Coturnix japonica: one gene and its partners. The protein of the gene in region 3 interacts with the protein of the main gene of each other region in a pairwise test. Links are inferred from orthologs where the notes say so. Each region holds a gene or a part of one and is shown on either strand. Other genes may lie near its edges.

Evidence for each region.
Region 1: the proteins of MLX (region 3) and MNT interact in a two-hybrid assay, tested with the Homo sapiens proteins (2 studies listed by BioGRID and IntAct). The link is inferred for Coturnix japonica from reciprocal best matches to the Homo sapiens genes MLX and MNT.
Region 2: the proteins of MLX (region 3) and MXD1 interact in a two-hybrid assay, tested with the Homo sapiens proteins (2 studies listed by BioGRID and IntAct). The link is inferred for Coturnix japonica from reciprocal best matches to the Homo sapiens genes MLX and MXD1.

Annotation. Positions count from the first base shown.
Region 1 is NC_029534.1:8,115,785-8,121,127, forward strand, and holds the end of MNT (max-binding protein MNT), read right to left. Parts: intron 3,012-5,343; coding exon 2,819-3,011; intron 1,373-2,818; coding exon 657-1,372; downstream 1-656. UniProt on the Homo sapiens protein: Binds DNA as a heterodimer with MAX and represses transcription. Binds to the canonical E box sequence 5'-CACGTG-3' and, with higher affinity, to 5'-CACGCG-3'.
Region 2 is NC_029537.1:821,662-827,569, forward strand, and holds the start of MXD1 (max dimerization protein 1), read right to left. Parts: upstream 3,344-5,908; 5' UTR 3,275-3,343; coding exon 3,016-3,274; intron 2,932-3,015; coding exon 2,832-2,931; intron 794-2,831; coding exon 764-793; intron 103-763; coding exon 1-102. Other genes in the region: SNRNP27 (U4/U6.U5 small nuclear ribonucleoprotein 27 kDa protein), read right to left, coding at 5,388-5,442, 5,595-5,659, 5,870-5,908. UniProt on the Homo sapiens protein: Component of a transcriptional repressor complex together with MAX. In complex with MAX binds to the core DNA sequence 5'-CAC[GA]TG-3'. Antagonizes MYC transcriptional activity by competing with MYC for MAX binding.
Region 3 is NC_029542.1:4,576,756-4,582,872, reverse strand, and holds MLX (max-like protein X), read right to left. Parts: upstream 3,701-6,117; 5' UTR 3,585-3,700; coding exon 3,540-3,584; intron 3,459-3,539; coding exon 3,422-3,458; intron 3,345-3,421; coding exon 3,261-3,344; intron 3,153-3,260; coding exon 3,046-3,152; intron 2,885-3,045; coding exon 2,785-2,884; intron 2,641-2,784; coding exon 2,541-2,640; intron 2,294-2,540; coding exon 2,092-2,293; intron 1,617-2,091; coding exon 1,560-1,616; 3' UTR 92-1,559; downstream 1-91. Other genes in the region: bifunctional coenzyme A synthase-like, read right to left, coding at 3,742-4,014, 4,070-4,216, 4,363-4,460, 4,543-4,627, 4,862-4,926, 5,027-5,216, 5,282-5,413, 5,487-5,701 and 1 more. UniProt on the Homo sapiens protein: Transcription regulator. Forms a sequence-specific DNA-binding protein complex with MAD1, MAD4, MNT, WBSCR14 and MLXIP which recognizes the core sequence 5'-CACGTG-3'. The TCFL4-MAD1, TCFL4-MAD4, TCFL4-WBSCR14 complexes are transcriptional repressors.

The DNA of each region.
Region 1 (5,343 bases), on a different chromosome or scaffold from region 3:
GATTTTAGATGGTTTTTTGAAATGTAATATACTGATGGGAAATACCTCAAACGTTCAATTTGCTTTTTTTTTGTCACTGTATGTGTACCCTGGTCCACCAAACCATCTAACTTTGAGTTTCTTGTTTAGAGAGGACACTGTGTCTTCTTCCTCCGAAACTGAATTTTGACTAATAATCCTGCAAAATAATCACCCTTACAAAAGGCCTTCTTCAAATGTTATATTTATATATATATGTATATACATATATATACACACACATACACACATATATATAAATATAGACTTTTATGATTTTGTTTTTCCCATTCTACGCAACATCTCAATAAAGAGATCAGCAGATTTATTCTACAAAGAAGCAACACATAAAAGGGGAAAATTAAAGTCTGAAGAACATCATAACCATATTTCACCAATTACACATAAAAGGAAAAAAAATCACCATGAACAACTGTCTTTGAAGTTTTCTCAGATTAACAAAACTCGAGCGCAGAGAGGCCCCCTCTGGCCATAGCCAGGCTGGCTGCTGGGTGGTCAGACTGGCCCACCCCCTGCCCTGCCGCTCTGCGCCTCCCTCCCGTGGAGTCAGGCGTGGTTGGAATGTATGGAGTTTAGGAAAGGTTCCCAACAAAGACTTCACCTTCGGACGATTCTCTCTAGGCCAGCTTCAGTGTGCTCACTGGGAATGATGGCATGGTTACCATAGTTACTGGGTTTAGGACTGTCTGTCCAACTAACTGCGGGTGATGGACAACTTGGGTTCCTACGGCCGGTTTGGCCATCACCGCTTGCTGGCCAAGACTTGTGGTTCCATTCACTTGCTGGTGAGAGATCGTGTGAGCGATGTGGCTCACCACGGGCTGGCTGACGGCCATGGGCTGAGGGTAGATGGGCAGCTGCTGACCGAGGTGGGCCATGTGGTTGATGGTGGCTGGGTGCACAGTGATGTGGCCGATAGGCTGAGCAGCAGTGGTAAGTTGCACAGGGCTGGACGTGGAAGGTGCAATGTGAGCAATGTGCTTGGTCTGTGGACCCTGAATGACGTGGTTGACAGTCTGAATGACCGAAGCGTGGGTAGTGGCCGTGTGGGCAATAACAGTCGATTGCACTGTCGAAGCCGCCACGATGTGAGTCTGTGCTGGGACAATCGCCTGCGGCTGAACCAGTGCTTGTGTCTGGATGGAAGGCTGTGCGTGGGCTGGGGGTTGTTTCTGCTGGATAGACAGGTGCTGAGGCAAAACCGCCAGGTGATGGGAAGCAGTGTTTGAAGGGACGGCTTTCAGGAGCTCTGGGTGCTGGCGCTGGGCTAGTTTTGGTAATGAGTTTACAGGCCTGTCATCTTCCATGTCTTCATCCATGTTGTCTTCACCCTCTGGAAAAAGAATGAAATGAAGAAACTCCCATTAAAAAAAAAAAACAAAAAAACACAAAAAACCTGGGCTACCTGACCACTCCCGCAAGGCAGCACAAGCAGCAGAGAGGACAGCAGGAGGAGTCACTGAGCTGAGTGAGAGCAGCACAGCACAGCACAGCAGGCTCCATTCAGCTCAGCTCAAAGTGCTCGCAAAAAACTGGGAGATCCCACTTGGCAGGCAACAGAAGCAACTTGAACTGAGGCAGACAGACAGAAGCTGGACTGAGAAGCACCCTCTGCACAGAGAGAAGGATTTCTTTTCCTGGTAAGTTGTTCTGTCAGCTGGAACTACTCCTGCTCCCAGAGCAGGAAGGAAACAGTGATGAAGAACTGTGGCAGCAAGTTTACTGGTCTGGCTCTGGAAAAAAAAGTCTCCATTGAGCCTACAAATTAATGAGGCAATGCTGACCTTAAGGAGATTAGGATCATCAGCAGGGCACTCTGCTCTGCCTGCTCTAACGCTAGGCACACAGTAGAGATTAAAAAACTCAGAAGGAAGAAAAAACTAAGAAAGACACTTCCCTTTTGCAAGCCCCATGGTCAGTAGTAGCTTGAAGAGATCATTTTCAGCAGAGGCAGCTGGAGAAGTGAACAGCTTGATGCCTCAATTTACAAAGGCTCTCAACTCTCAGCTTCCACCAGCTTATGCTTGGAGATGGTCTGGAGCACGTTCAAAGGTGATGAGCCCAGTACAGGAATCTGAATGAACCAGAAAGCTCAGGTTTTCCCTTTCTGGGTTCCTGCTGTGCCATCTGCCTGGAGCACCACAAGCAAATGCCACTGCTATTATAAGGAACTGCTGCAAATAGTTGGGAACTGCTACAGCCTTCTGATCTCTGGAAAGTACAGTGCTGTCCATCCATGACTGCCTGTTCTTCCTGCTGCAGGTCACTGGTACCTCCTACCTCACAAAAACTTCTCACTGCAATAGCATGCTTGATTTTCATTAGCATTGCTTATCTTCACTGTGAATCTTTCTTGTGCAGTGTACGAGATGTACACTCCTGCACCAATTCCTTCTTCTCTGTGTGGCTGAACACCTTCTTACCTCCATGCACAAATACATTAGGACACTTACACACCAACCAGTTTTCATGAGCAGGGCTGTGTAGCTGTGCAGGAGGGAAACTACATTCTGAAAGCAAGGAGCTTCATGCAAGATACCACCAGAACGAATGTGCAAAACTGCACCTTGTGTTTATGTAACATGGTTGATACATGATTTCCAGTGCACTTTGCACAAGTATATTATTAGGCCACCATCACCAACTACAAATCCTTGAAATCCTTTTACTTAATTCTGAATGCAAAGCAACTGTGATGGTCTAAATGAATATCCCCACCAGCCATCTCTACTACAATGGTGCACAATGATGGTTACAAGAAGAGAGAAATGGCGGGTACCTGACGCTGTGGAGGTAGATGCCTGGTCATCCTCTGGCTGAACTGTCTGTCGAACAATTCTGTCGATCTCCATGATGTCCATCCATTGGCTCAGCTCGTTCTTCAGTTCTGCCAGCCGCTGCTGGGTAGCGATCTTTTCCCTCGCCAGCCGCTCCATCTCATGCTCATATTCTTTTTCCTTTCTCTTTAAAGTCTAAAGGCAGAACAAAGGAAAGAAAAACAATCTAAGGAGGAAAAAAAACCCAAATGTAATCTATTCTAACCTGGTCATTGCCACATTCGTTGCCGGTTTTCTTTTATTATTAGTTATGCTGGGTTCAGGTATAGTTATCACTTCCAAGTTCACACAGGAAGAAAAGGAGCTGGTCATGAAAACCTATAGAGTTGCCTTGGCCAACTGCTTTCTGCTTTCTGAAGGAAAACTATTGAGTCTTCAAAACTGAAATGATTAACCAGGTCAGGTGTGAGTCACTTCAGCTCCAGGGGGAGCAGTGCAGAACACCTCGGGAAAACTGCAGAACTTCACCATCAGCCGACAGTGACAGCGATTAGCACCAGTTCTGAACATCAGCCTGACCTCACCTGTCTCATGAAATGTAAAGGGAATTAAGGCTTACTGCAGACTGCTGGAGAGGTGTGAAGGAAGCACAATGGGTGCAGCTTTCTCCTCATCGCCAGGTGAGAGAATGTGCTTCTACCACATACATCTATTTCCAAGAGTGCTTAAGGAAAGCAAGCACGTACACAGATCAGTGCTCCTGCAGAGCAGCTAACTGCTGGCCCAGTGCTTGAGAAAGGTGAGAATCCCCCACATCCTTGCAATGAGAAAGAAGCGCAGTGCAGAAAACTCGGCTCTTATGTGGGATGACAAAACCACAGACAAATTGAAGTACTTCAAAGACAAAGTGCAGAGGAACAGATAGCATCTTTTACTAAACCAACTAACAGCAGTTAGGAACAAATGACAAGCTTCTGGGACACAAACTCAAAAAGGTCTACATGTGATGACAGTGCATTTCTGTAAGCTCAAGTTGGTCAGCACATAAGTCAGGAAGAGACAGAAATCTGACACTTATAGGAAGTGATTGTTCCACACGTGTATGTGGTGATAAAGGCTCCTGGACATACTCATGGCTGAAGCCAGACCCTCACACTTGTTCCAAGGGCTGTTACAATGCAAAGCACAAGAATTTCTTACAACAGCAGTCGTATCACAACAGAACAACTCTATGCAAAAAAAACCCCAAACCAACCCACTGTCACAGTAGTTACATTTATCTTTAAAATAAGCAGCAATCATACTGTCTTTGGGATCTGCCAACAGAATTGGAACCTACAGGTGGAATGTGCAGAGGAGACCACCAGAACTACATCAAACAAAATTAGGAACAAAACTTCAATAAAGAAATTCATCCAAGTGGCCAACCACCTGTCTCTGCAGGTCTGGAATGCCACAAAGCAGAGGCACCTGCATCTGGGACGGCTGAGGGTCTACAGCTGCCATCTGAGCCACTGCTCCCACTGGGAGCAGCAGCAGTGGCTGTGCTGAGGGTTCTGATGAAGCCTCACCACCACGACAGGGACGAAGCTGCTGTGATACAGGATGCCCACCCTGTGGGCTCCAACCCTTACTCCTGAGCCCTGCCTCTGCTAGGGCTGTGCCCCTGCAGCAGGGCTGCATCCTGCAGCACAGGCTGGGGTTTGCTGTAGGGATGTTCTGCACAAAGCTGCCAGCTCTGCTAAAAAGGAGCTGATGATTTCACTCCCAACAGTTTGTGCAGTTTAGCTCCTGCCTGAAATCCGGAGCAGAGTCCACGCAGGGCATGCAGGAACACTCTGCTGCAGGCGTGAGTATCTCTTTCATTTCCATTTCCCAGAAGGGAAGGACAATTCTGAAAGTGACGGCTGTGCCCATGAGTGACTCAGCTGTGCACGCCAGCAGGGCTCCACACACAGCACAGAGCAGCCCCAGGGAGACGTGCCTGCCTGGAAGCTGTATTTGCCTTTGCTACGCATGGAATGGGATTTTCCTCCATTGCACGTAGCTCTCAGCTCCAGAGCAGCCCTTTCCCACACGGATTACTACAGTAAGCCCAACACAATCGCAGAGGAAGCCAAGAGCCACAGTATGAGCTGCAATGCGCTTTGTGCCCACTCTTCTCCCCAATTTGGAGCCGTTTCGTGGTCCTCGTATGCATCCCGCTGCCGCCACTTGGTAAACAAACCAGAACCAAAGTGCTGTTGTCACCCCACCGCAGTGGTCATTTGTCACTGTAAAGAATTTTCCATTTTATAGCTGGCTGTAATTAAATTGCTTATTCTTATGTCAAGATCGAGAATAATGCTCCCACTACTTTCTCTATGCCTGCCTCAGGAATAATGCTAACCCTGTGCAGGAATCAGCGAGGTTTAAGAGGCCTTATTAAAAAGCTCCCCTTATAGGCATTACATTAGCAATTTAAAAACTCACTTTCAATTATGAGCTTTTCCAAAAGCATATTTCAGCTGTTGTGCTCTACTACACT
Region 2 (5,908 bases), on a different chromosome or scaffold from region 3:
TTGGCTTTCATGAGTAAACTCAGCGTGGTGTGCTTGCTGGATTCGGGGCCGAGCGGCACCAGCACCTTCAGCTTCTCCAAACACAGCCGCAGGTGGGCACGCCTGCAAGAAAACCATCAGATGCTCAGTGTGCCCCAACACCACGCAGCATCTTGACCTCTATATCAGCGCAGGAACAGCAAAATAAAACTGCTCCAGCTACATCCAGCACAGGGCTGCAAACACAGCACGGCCCTCGAGCCTCCTCTGGGTCAGGAGCAGGCAACGTGCAGCACTCCACGCTCCCTCCTGCAGCGCAGGATGCCCCATGCTCAGTATATTCCGGTTCCGTTCCCATTGCAACACCTCCTGTGCCGTACCCCACTGACACACTCAGGGCAGATGGGGATGTTGCAACGACCTGCCTATCTCGTTCCGCATGCGAATAAACAGGCATTTGCCTGCACTGAGTGCCTCCTGCATGACACTGCCAACAAAACACGCGCTTGTGCTGCTGGGGTCAATCCCAAACTGAGCTGAGCCCTCACTCAGGTTGTTTTCCATCAGGCTGGGCTGCACCCCAGCAGCTCAGCAGGGGGAGGTGTGTGATTTAAACCCCTTTCTAGGGGGTGAAAATGCCACAGGGAAATTCCAGCTGCCTGCCCCAGGTGGGCACTAAGCAGTACCAGGGGCACAGCATGGCACGGCTCCTTCTGGAATAGGAGAGGGGCAGCCCTGATGTGCAATGAGAAGAGATCCCGTGTGGGTCCCGGCCCATTCTCACCTGTTCTTTTCCATCTCATTGTGAGTCGACCTGAAAAAGAAAGAGGACTTTGTGAAATGCTCGGCTCCAGGAGGACGACAGACAGCAGGGGGGGGGTCTGCAGAGGGGTCACTGCACCCAGGATGATAAATGTGGTGGCATAGGGATGGATAGGGAGAGATACCCAGAGAGATGGCAGTGTCAGGGAGACCCCACTGAGGTGGTTGGGATGGGGACGGCTCGCTGCTGGTTATGGGGAGCACAAAGCAGCACCAACAGCACAGGATGGCAGCAGCACCCAACACACCCCCCCGGGTGAGTGGTTGTAAAGGAGAGGAGGAAGCAAAGGGGCCCAACCAGCGCTGAGCAGCACCACACAGGAAGGGGAAGCTCTCCTCATCCCAACACCAACCCCAAACTGAGCAGAGCACAACTCCAGCGCATCTCTAAGGTACAACCAGCAGCCCCAAAGCACGAGTCCTGCTGCTCCCATTCCTTGTGAGCAATGTTAAAGTGAGGAACGAAGCTCCTTATCTCCCCATTAAGGAACCTCTGGGCGCTCGCTGACGGGACGGGGACGTCCTGCTGTCACAGCTGGCAAAGGTCACCCGTCCCCATGCGACGTGATCCGGAGCAGGACGTGGTGCCGTGCCCTGAGATGGCAGAGCTGCTCCTCCCTGAGCAAACAGCAGGAAGGAGCCGGGAGGGGCGGCAGGAATTGGCCATGGGTCACATTTAGGGGCACAATCTCTCCTCCCCATTGTGGGGGTTTGGATCTGAATCTCATCTGCCACTTTAAGAGCCCCCAAATGGAACCTGGGCACAAGAACCACACCAAGGCAACATCCAAAGCAAAGGCCGAAATCAAGAGCTCAGTGTCAGCATCTCTGCCTGCCACGTTGTGTGACTGCACCTTCAGCTGTGTGCACTGTGACATGGAATCCTCATAGACTGAGCATCCCATGACAGCGGCGTCCCCAAAGGTCCCCACAGCCCACAGCCCCCCCATGGCAATGGGATTTCAACAGGCCCCAATAGATCCCAATCTCCTGGTGCAGGCAGTGCCCTCTGCTTCCACGTCCCCCCAGCCCGGAGCCCTGTGACAGCTGCTGACCCCCGGCTGACAGCGGTGTCCCTATGGATCCCTATGGGGTCTCCATGGGTTTCTATGGGGTCTCTATGTCTCTCTTTGGGTCCCTATTGGTCCCAATAGGTCCCTATGAGTCTCTATGGGTCCCTATGGGTCTCTATGGGTCCCTATGGGTCTCTATGGGTCCCTATGGGTCCCTATGGGTCTCTATGTGTCCCTATGTGTCTCTATGGGTCTCTATGGGTCTCTATGGGTCCCTATGGGTCCCTATGGGTCTCTATGGGTCCCTATGGGTCTCTATGGGTCCCTATGGGTCTCTATGGGTCCCTATGGGTCCCTATGGGTCTCTATGGGTCCCTATGGGGTCTCTATGGGTCCCTATGGGTCTCTATGGGTCCCTATGGGTCTCTATGGGTCCCTATGGGTCTCTATGGGTCTCTGTGGGTCCTTATGGGTCTCTATGGGTCCCTATGGGTCTCTATGGGTCCTTATGGGTCTCTATGGGTCCCTATGGGTCTCTATGGGTCCCTATGGGTCCCTATGGGTCTCTATGGGTCTCTATGGGTCCCTATGGATCCCTATGGGTCTCTATGGGTCCCTATGTGTCCCTATGGGTCTCTATGGGTCCCAATGGGTCTCTATGGGTCCCTATGGGTTTCTATGGGTCCCTATGGGTCCCTATGGGTCCCTATGGGTCTCTATGGGTCCCTATGGGTCCCTATGGGTCTCTATGGGTCCCTATGGGTCTCTATGGGTCCCTATGGGTTTCTATGGGTCCTTATGGGTCTCTATGGGTCCCTATGGGTCTCTATGTGTTCCTATGTGTCTATATGGAGTCTCTATCTGGTTTCTATGGGTCTCAATGGTTCTCTATAGGGTTTCTATGGGTCCCAATGGTTCTCTATGGGTCTCTATGGGTCCCAATGGTTCTCTATGGGTTTCTATGGGTCTCTATGGGTCTCTATGTGCCCCCATTGCCCCCCTCCCCCCTCCCGTTACCTTCCGCCCCCTCCGTTCCTCCGGCCGTTCCTGCTCCTCGTTCTGTCCCTTCGCGCTGCTCCATGTCCGGGCATCGTGGAGGCGTAGCCGTGTTCGGCCTCTGTGGGGACACAACGGGAGCGGGCAGCGCCGGGCGGCACCGGGACGAACCGGGGGGGGGGGACACACGGTGTAATACCGGTACCTCGCTCCCGACGCTCCAGGTACTCGGCAGCCTCCAGGAGCAGCTCGATACTGGACCCGATACCGGACCCGATACCGGACCCGATACCGGACCCGACACCGGACCCGATACCGGACCCGATACCGGACCCGATACCGGACCCGACACCGGACCCGATACCGGACCCGATACCGGACCCGATACCGGACCCGACACCGGACCCGATACCGGACCCGATACCGGACCCGACACCGGCCCCGTCGGTTCCGCCCGCCGCCATCTCCGCTGCTGCGGGGCCGGGCCGGGCCGGGCCGGGTTGAGCTCCTCGCCCGGCCGCTCCGCCGACTCCGCCCACCGCCGCCTCTCATTGGATGCCGCCCCACCGTCTCTTTTCGCCATTGGTTGGCTGTGAGACACGCCTTTCCGCCATTGGCTCGGCCCCGATGGAAGCCCCGCCCCCTCCCCGCTGTCGCCGATCAGACGGGCCCTCCGGGAAGGCGCGCTGTGATTGGACGAGCCGCCAACGGGGCTGACTCACTTCCTGCCTCCCGCAGCCAATGGGAGGGCGAGAAGAGGGCGAGGGGGCGTGGCCAAGTGTCAACGTGGGGCTGTAGGGCCGGGACCCCCCGGACCCCGGTATGGGGGGACCCCATAAAGGATGGAGACCCCATAGGAACCAGGAGCCCCCTATAGGAAACAGGCAGCCCCTATAGGTAACAGGCAGCCCCTATAAGTAACAGGCAGCCCCTATAAGAAACAGGCAGCCCCTATAAGTAACAGGCAGCCCCTATAGGAAACAGGCAGCCACTATAAGGAACAGGCAGCCCCTATAAGTAACAGGCATCCCCTATAGGTAACAGGCAGCCCCTATAGGTAACAGGCAGCCCCTATAAGGAACAAGCAGCCCCTATAGGTAACAGGCAGCCCCTATAAGTAACAGGCAGCCCCTATAGGAAACAGGCAGCCCCTATAAGGAACAGGCAGCCCCTATAGGAAACTGGCAGCCCCTATAAGGAACAGGCAGCCCCTATAGGAAACAGGCAGCCCCTATAAGAAACAGGCAGCCCCTATAAGCAGCCACCCCTATTAACTGGGACCCCTATAGTCCTCCCCCAGCACCCAAAGGTGCCGCCCTTCACCCCACAGCAGGGACCCCCCCCACACCCCATAGAGCCCAATGGGATGGAATTGGGTTTTTTTTTTTGGGGGGGGGGAGGCTGTTTCCTCCCCACACCCCGAAACCCAGCCCTGCCCTGGGGTGACTCACCCCCCCAGCACGGAAACCAGATAAACCTGGGTGTGTGTTAATGGGGGGGGGGGGTCAAAAGGGGAACACGCCCCCAATGCAGCGGCCCTAAATAGAACCCCATTGAACAGCAGAACACGGCTGGGGGGGTTTGGGGGTGAATGGGGGGGGATTGGGCTGGGGGCTTCATGAAAGCACCCATCACATCTAAGTGTGGCCAAACAAATGGGCTTTTTTCTCCTCATTTTGAGCAGGTTGGTTTAATGAGGTTTAATTAGCACAGAGATAAAGGAAATGATGGGATGGGGGGGTTGGGAATTCCCTGTCTGGCAGCGGGGCCTTATCGCAGGGCTCCAGGCGTGTCGCAGTGATGACAGGGCACCAACACAGCCCCGTATGGCACTGACAGCCCGGGTGAGTCACCGGCACCAATAAGGGCTGGATTTACTAAGTCAAACCTGCCCTAAAATAGCACAAAACCCCATAAAACTCATAGCAAAAAGCTCAGCTCCGGGCTGGATCCGCATGTCCTCATCTTAAAGCATCGCTGGGAGGTTTATGTGCTGATTGAGATGGGGTTGAAAGCAATGTTGGCTGTAGGGCTGTGCTGCCACCTCCTGGGGTTGAGGGAACATAGAGCTGAGATGGGAATCCCTGTATGGGGGGAATCCCTGCCCAAGGTTTGGGTTGGAATCCCTGCCCAACCCTGGGGTGACCCATTGAACACACAAAGAAGCAGCAAAGTGAGTTTGTTCAGCTCAAATCCCAAAGGTTGAGTTGGGGATCAGCTGTTGGGTGGGTTTTCCAGCAGCGTTTTCTCGCTGACTTTATTCCTGAGTGATGTTATAATAAAGGGAGATTGGGGATGAACCAGAAAGGAAAGGGAAAAATATCGATGGGTTTGAATCAGACGATGCTGAGCTGGTAAAAAAAATAACACAACAACCAATAGAACCAGCAGGAAATCCTGGCGAGGAGCAAACGGAGCCGAGATCGATGAGCTTCAGTTCACCCTCCCTCGGTGCAGGGCAGAGCGAGAGCACCCGGATTTGCTCTAAATGACCCCAAAATCCCTTTGAGGATGGAGTGACGGAGTCCTGTCCCACCTTTGAGGTGTGTGAACAAGGCAGAGCTGCTCCGTGCAGCGTCAAGCGATGAAATCCAATGGTCTGTTGAATCCTCCTTTTCTGTTCATGTACTGTCTGTGGGGGAGAGGAGAAGGAACAGATCAGCTCCTCACTGTGCCCATAGACAACCTGGACTCTGAGATGCTGTTTTATCTCCCCCCCTTCCCAGCAGTGCTGTTTTATCACATGAAAACAGGTGGATTCAGTGCAATCACAGCAGCACAAACCTGTATTTCCTCTTCTGGGACACGTTGATGGCGTATGCGTTTGCAGCACCGTCCACTTTCTTGCCCTTGAAAGAGGAGAAAGAGCAGAGCTGTGTGTAGCACCAAGAGCTGCCCACGTAAAGCAAACAGAGCCACAGCTCCGGGATGTGAAGGAGAAACCCCACATCAAATGGGTGCAATGCAACGGGGGGAGTTGTTTTGGGGTACAAGCAACACTGTGCTGTAATGCAGCCCTGCAGGGTGAGGAAAGGCAGCTCTGAGCCCAGCAAACTCACTTTTGTTGTGTCGAAAGAAGCGAAGCCCATCATCTTCAT
Region 3 (6,117 bases):
CCGTGAGCCACAGCTGCAGTGGGTGCAGCCCTTACCTGATCCCATTAAAGTCTCCAGGCACACAGCACCAGAAATAAAAGCAGAAGAGCCATTAAAACATTCAGCAAAATTTATTTAATCATTTTCCATAATAGAAAAATATGTCACTTTCACATATGAGGTCTGTAAAAATCCGCATCTTCCTCTCAAGGCAAGAGGTTGCATCTAAAGGAAATTAAGCTGTGCCCTGTACGTGTCATCAGTTGTGTGCGACACCACAGGGTCTGACTCCTACTGGGCTTCTATTGTATTATATCCAAAAGGTCACAGGGTTTGGAAAAACAATTTCATCTAAAAATCAACCCCACCAAAAAGCTTTTCTTCATTTAAGTCAAACAGAAGCAACAGCTTCAACCATCTCCAGCTGCAGCATTCAAAAATCAAGCAACCCGGAGCTGAGAAACTTAGCATTACCTCATCTACAGTGGAAAAACAACATAAAATAAATAGTTGCTACTGTTGGAGTGGTAGCAAGAACACGACTAGAGAACAAGTCCTGCTGTATGTGTCAATGCCATGGAGGGTGATGCTGTCCAATGCCATCATTGTGCTTGGTTTGCTGATTCACACTGACAGCAGCAGCGTGTGGCAAGTGAGACACTGCAAAACTGGCATTGATTACACTTTACAATGATTTCAGTGATCTATAAAATAAAATCAAGGCTGGTTACATGTATATAAATATATATACCCACATAAAATCATGGTGCTAAGGAACAGCAGTGTGAACTCAGAGTAATGCTGTGCTGCAGCTACTGAACTTTCCTGTTCAGTGTGGCCACATCACAACCCAGAAAAAGATAAAGCCAGGCCCAATTCAGCACTCATCAGAACAAGGAGGAAAAGGCTGCAATGAAAGTTCACTCCTTTCCCATTCAGGGGTGTTACTGAAGAGTCAGCACAGCGAGGCCCCAGGGCACTCCTTCAGCACAGAGCTCGCTTGCTGCTCCATGTAATGAGCATTGCCCTGGCAGTGACATGCTAATAAACCTGCCCTCAGTTCTCCCGGGCCTTCTCCAAAGCAGCTACAGAAATTAAAAGCAGACTCTTGCTTTTCTAAGAGCTGCTTCAGAGGGAGGTATTGAAAACCTGCAGCTGCAGAATAACCCTATTCCTGAGCTGCATTAGCACAGCAACAGCTTTTAGCACTCTCCTATTTCTCCCTGCTCCCAGGTTCAATAGGGTTTATATCAGGTGTGAGGTTACAGAGCAGATTCACCTGCTGAGCTGCAGCCCTGAAATCAGTGGCACAGATAAACCCAACTGCAACCACCTGCCTGAGCTAAAGACACTGGCAACTTAAAAGATCTATATTCAATACACACTTATTTCTTTCCCTTCACTAAGTCCTTAGCAGTATTTGGTAACGTTGACTGTGACAGTACCTGTTTGCACAGCTTTGGTTTGGTTTTGTAGTGACAATAAATAATCGAAGAAGCTTTAAGGACCAGCACAAGGGAGATGGTCCAGCCTCTCCTGGCAGCTGTCACCCGGTCGGGAGGTGCTCCAGCGAGGGATGCTCAGTACAGCTGACTCTTCACCTGGTGCAGGACCCCGATGACAATGTCCCGTAGGGTCTGGGGCAGAGAGGAGACACAGTCAGTTGTTCAGGGGAGGAAAAGCCTTTCCCATGCTCAATGCTACAGACAGCACCTGGTGCCACAGATCTCAGCACCTGTATGGGAAACGATCGCCTGTCTGTGTTCTCAGGCTGCAGGGCTCCAGGCAGCCACAGCACAACAAGGACCTGGCCCTGCCCATGCAGCTCATTCTCTTCCCTCCTAACTTCTAAGTGTCTTATGGAACAAAGTGCTGGGGAACAAGCACCCTCTTTGTAAGCTCTGTTTTTCAGTGTCTGAATTTCACTGCCAAGCAGCTGGGAAATGAGAGGAACCCAAGCTCCCATGCCCCAGGTCCAGTGTCAGCCACATTCTGCCTTTCTGAAGGCCCAGGCGAAAGAAAAGCTGCACACAGGCCTACACTCCAGACAGGTGCAGCCATACACAACAGCCTCTGCTCTTATATCAACCCCCCTGTGTCTGCTGTACTCACATGGGGCTTACAGTGCTCCTCAATCCAGCTGAAGACACATGCTGACAGCTCTTGAAAACTCGTGACTGAGATGGAGGCATTAAAGGACTCAAAGAGGGAATCCATAATGCCTTGGAAAACGTTGAATTTCACCTGGTCAGAGACCTGGTCCTTCCCCTCACTCGGGTTGTCCTGGTGAGCTTTTACGATCTGCTCATAGTTCCTGAAACACCAAGTTTGGGGCTCAGTGCTATCGAAGCCTCGTACTGCACAGCAGCTGGGCGACAGCGGGGGCAGAAGCTGCTGCCAGTAACTGGACACTGAAAACAGCTTCAGAACTGGAGGCAATTTGGTACGACCCCAGGTGCCAGACTGCACACAGAGCACTGAGCACATCGGGGGAGCTTTGCAGGGACATGGGGAAAAACAGCAGGAAGAAGGGGGCAGCAACCAAATAACTTCTTACTTACACTTTCATTATCTTCAAGGCCATCACGTCTTTCCTGAGAGTAGAAACTTCCTCTTCTTGCTTCTTCTTTTCCTTGTGCAGGAACTGAATGTAATCAATGGCTGAACACAAAAACACAGAGTAAGCAGCACATGGGGCCCCTCTGACCTCCCTGAGGTCGGTCCCCGAGGCACCATCACACACAATCACCACATTGAGGTGCCTGAGGGTCGGATCGTGCCCTGCTGCCTCCTGCACACACTCACTCTTCTGCAGGATGACGGCCTTGCTCAGCTTCTGGGAGCCGATGGCGAAGTCCTGCTGCTGGCAGGTGGGCACGATGGCCTGCAGGTCGTCGTAGCCTTTCTGCAGGGGCAGAGGGAGCAGAACAGGCACAAACGGCAGCGGTTACACGGACCCACAGCCCAGCTCCCACCACGCGGCCAAAGCGGCTCCAGCCACACGCGGCTCATGGAGCGGATCCAGCACGGGACGAGGGGCTGGAACGCGGCGCGGCGCCCACCGACCTTGATGGCATCGCGCCGCTTCTGCTCCGCCTGCGTGTGCGCCCGGCGCCGCTGGTCCTTGTAGGACTCCTTGTAAAACTCCTGCGGGTAATCGCTGTCCTCGTCGTCTGCGGACACAGCGGCGCTGAGCGCGGGTCGGGACGGGCCCCCCCGGACGCCGCCGTCCCCGGTTGCCCCGCGCCCGCCCCGCTCCAGCCCGGTGCCCCCGTTCGTACCGGTGTTGGGCACGGACGAGGCGCTGGTGGATCCGATGCTGTTGGCGCGGGACACGACGCTGCCCTTCCTGTCCGTACCGAGCGCTGCGGGACAGCGGGAGCCGCTCAGCGGAGCCGCCCCATCCGCCACCCGCCATCGAACCGCCCCCCCCGGCACCTACCGGGCTCCGGGACATTGTCCCCGTACGCGGCGTCCACCTGCGGGCGGAGGGCGGCGGTCACGGGGCGGATGGTGGCGCTCCGGGCCTCGGCCCCACGGTCCGACCGCCGCCCCGTTACCTTCCCCCACGCTTCCTCCGCCGCGGCACCGGGCGGCTCCGCCATCTTCCCCCGCCCCGGTCACGTGGGAGCCGCGGGGGACGCCGGGAAGCGCCGCCCTCCCGACCGCGAGGGGGCGCCACGTGGGGACAACGGGAACAACGGGAACAACGGGACCAACGGGACACAAACAGCACGGACACCGGGAAACTGCGACCGCCCTTTAACCGCCGCTCGGCTGCGGGATCACGGCGCGGAACCGGCAGCGCCCGCCGTGCCGAGCACGGGCCGTACCCGCCCGGTCGGGGCCGCGGCGCTTCCGGTCCGTCCCGGCGCGTTGTGCGGCTCCGTTCGCTCCGTTCGCTCCGTTCGCTCCCGGTCCCGGCTCCTCTCGGTCCCGTTGCGGTTCAGCTGCTCGTTGCGGTGGCCGCGCGGTGGATGCGGCGCTGCAGCAGCTCCCACGCCTTCTCCACCTGACAACGGGCACCGTCAGCAGCTTCGTGCGGGGCTCGGCGCCGTTACACCGGCCCGTTACAGCGGCCCGTTCTCACCTGTTTGTGGGTGACGTCGGGCTCCCACGCGGTGCTCAGCACAACATGCGCCTCCCGCACCCGCTGCCCGTCGCTCATCTGACTCCGCAGCCGGTCACGCGCCGCCTCCTCGCTCAGCCCGTCCCGGCTCACGATGCGTTTCAGCGCCTGCGGGACCAGCACGGGACGGGGGGTCACGGCGATCACGGGGGTCACGGCGATCACGGGGATCACGGCGATCACGGGGGTCACGGGGATCACGGGGGTCACGGGGGGTCACGGGGATCACGGGGCGGCCGAGGGGAGTCACCCACCTCGTCCTCGGGGATGATGGCCGCCCACACCTCGTGCACCATCTCCTGCCATCCGGCCTCCAGCAGCACGGCGGCATCCAGCACCATCACGGCTTTTCCTACGGAACGAGGCCGTTCCTGGTCACCGGGCGGACACAGGCAGCGCCGGCAGCGCCCACTACAATCAGAGCCACCCGGTACCTTGAGCTCCTGCCTCCCTGATCTGCTCCCTGACCATCCGCGCGATCTCCGGCCACACGATGTCTGTGAGGTTCTTCAGCCGCTCCTGGAAAGGAACCGCAGCGGAGTCAGGGTCCTCCCAGAGGTTGGTCCACGAGGGGGCCACAGCTGGAGGAGCAACAGCAGCTGCTGCCTGGATGTGGATCCTGCACAGCCGCTGATTTACTGTGTGCTACTGCACAGGGACGTGGCATCAGCTCAAAGGGCTGGAAATCAAAGCGCCAGCACAGAGTTCTCTGCTCATGAGGTTAAATATTGACATTCCCTGTGCTGCTCGTACCTGGTTTCCAAACACTTTTGCCCCGAGGATCTTCCTGTTGATCGTCCCGTCTTTGTTCAAGATTTCTGCAAGACAGAGGGAGGTGATTTGGGAGCAGAAAGAATCCAACTCACCTGCACAGCGTGTCCCGGCACAGCGCCGGTGCCGCAGCACACCCAGCCCCACCTGCCCCAAACGCAGCCACCACTTGCCCGTGGGCCGGGCTGCCGGGCAGGTACACAGCGTGGCCCAGTGCATCAGCATCGATGATGAACGCTCCCATCTGCCCCAGGCGGCGGGCGATCGAGGTCTTCCCGCTCCCGCTGCCCCCGGTCAGACCGATGATGTAGGGGCGGGGGGGCAGCGTGGGGCTGTCCTGGGGAAGGAAGGGTCAGACGGGCGGTGGTCCCGCAGCTCCCAGCCCCCGGCAGCTCCCCCTACCCGTGGGGGCCGCAGCAACGTGCCGAGCAGCCGCTGTCGCAGGCTGGAGGAGCTGATCTTCTCCTCCTCACTGAGGCTGTGTTGGGGATCCTCCATCAGCTCGATCTCAAAGAGCTCCAGTGCGGCGAGGCCCTGCCGGGAGGGGACACCACTGAGCCCCCCAGATGTAACCACGGGGCCCAGAGGTCTCAGATCCTCCAGTTACGTTCTCGATCCTCTTCTTGTTCACGGCCTCCCCTCCCTTGCGTGTCTCCTCGCTGACCACGATGCAGCGCAGCTCCGGGTCGGTGATTGCGGGGCCGTAGGGGTCGCCCAGAGGCACGATGTCGTACAGCACCGAGGGCTGCACATCTGCCAGGAACTCCCGCAGTTTGGCCACCCGCAGCTCGTAGGGCTCGATCAGCTCCCGCAGGACTTTGTCTGCAGCAGCACCGCGACGGAACAGTGAGAGCAGCAGAGCAAACGGTTCTATGGTAGGAACCCTCCAGCAGTGCCCCACCACCATCCTGCCCACAGGGCCCTGGACTGTGCAGGACAGCAGCTGCAGGACCTGGGCTGTCCCTGTGATCAGTGCCCGCCACCGGTGCTGACCCACATCCCTCCTGCCAGCAGCCCCCGAGCGCTCTGAGCTACCCGGACACTGTCCCATACCCCGGCCCAGGGGCGGCCCTCAGCCCCCACCGCCGTCCCGTCCCGTTCCCCGCTGCCCCCCGGCCCCGCTTCCCGCAGCACTCACGGCGCAGCAGTTCCCCGTCGGCCACCCCGACCAGCAGCCTCCGCCGTGCCAGCAGGCAGCAGGCGCTGAGCAGCAGCCGGTGGGCGCCGTGCAGCCGATC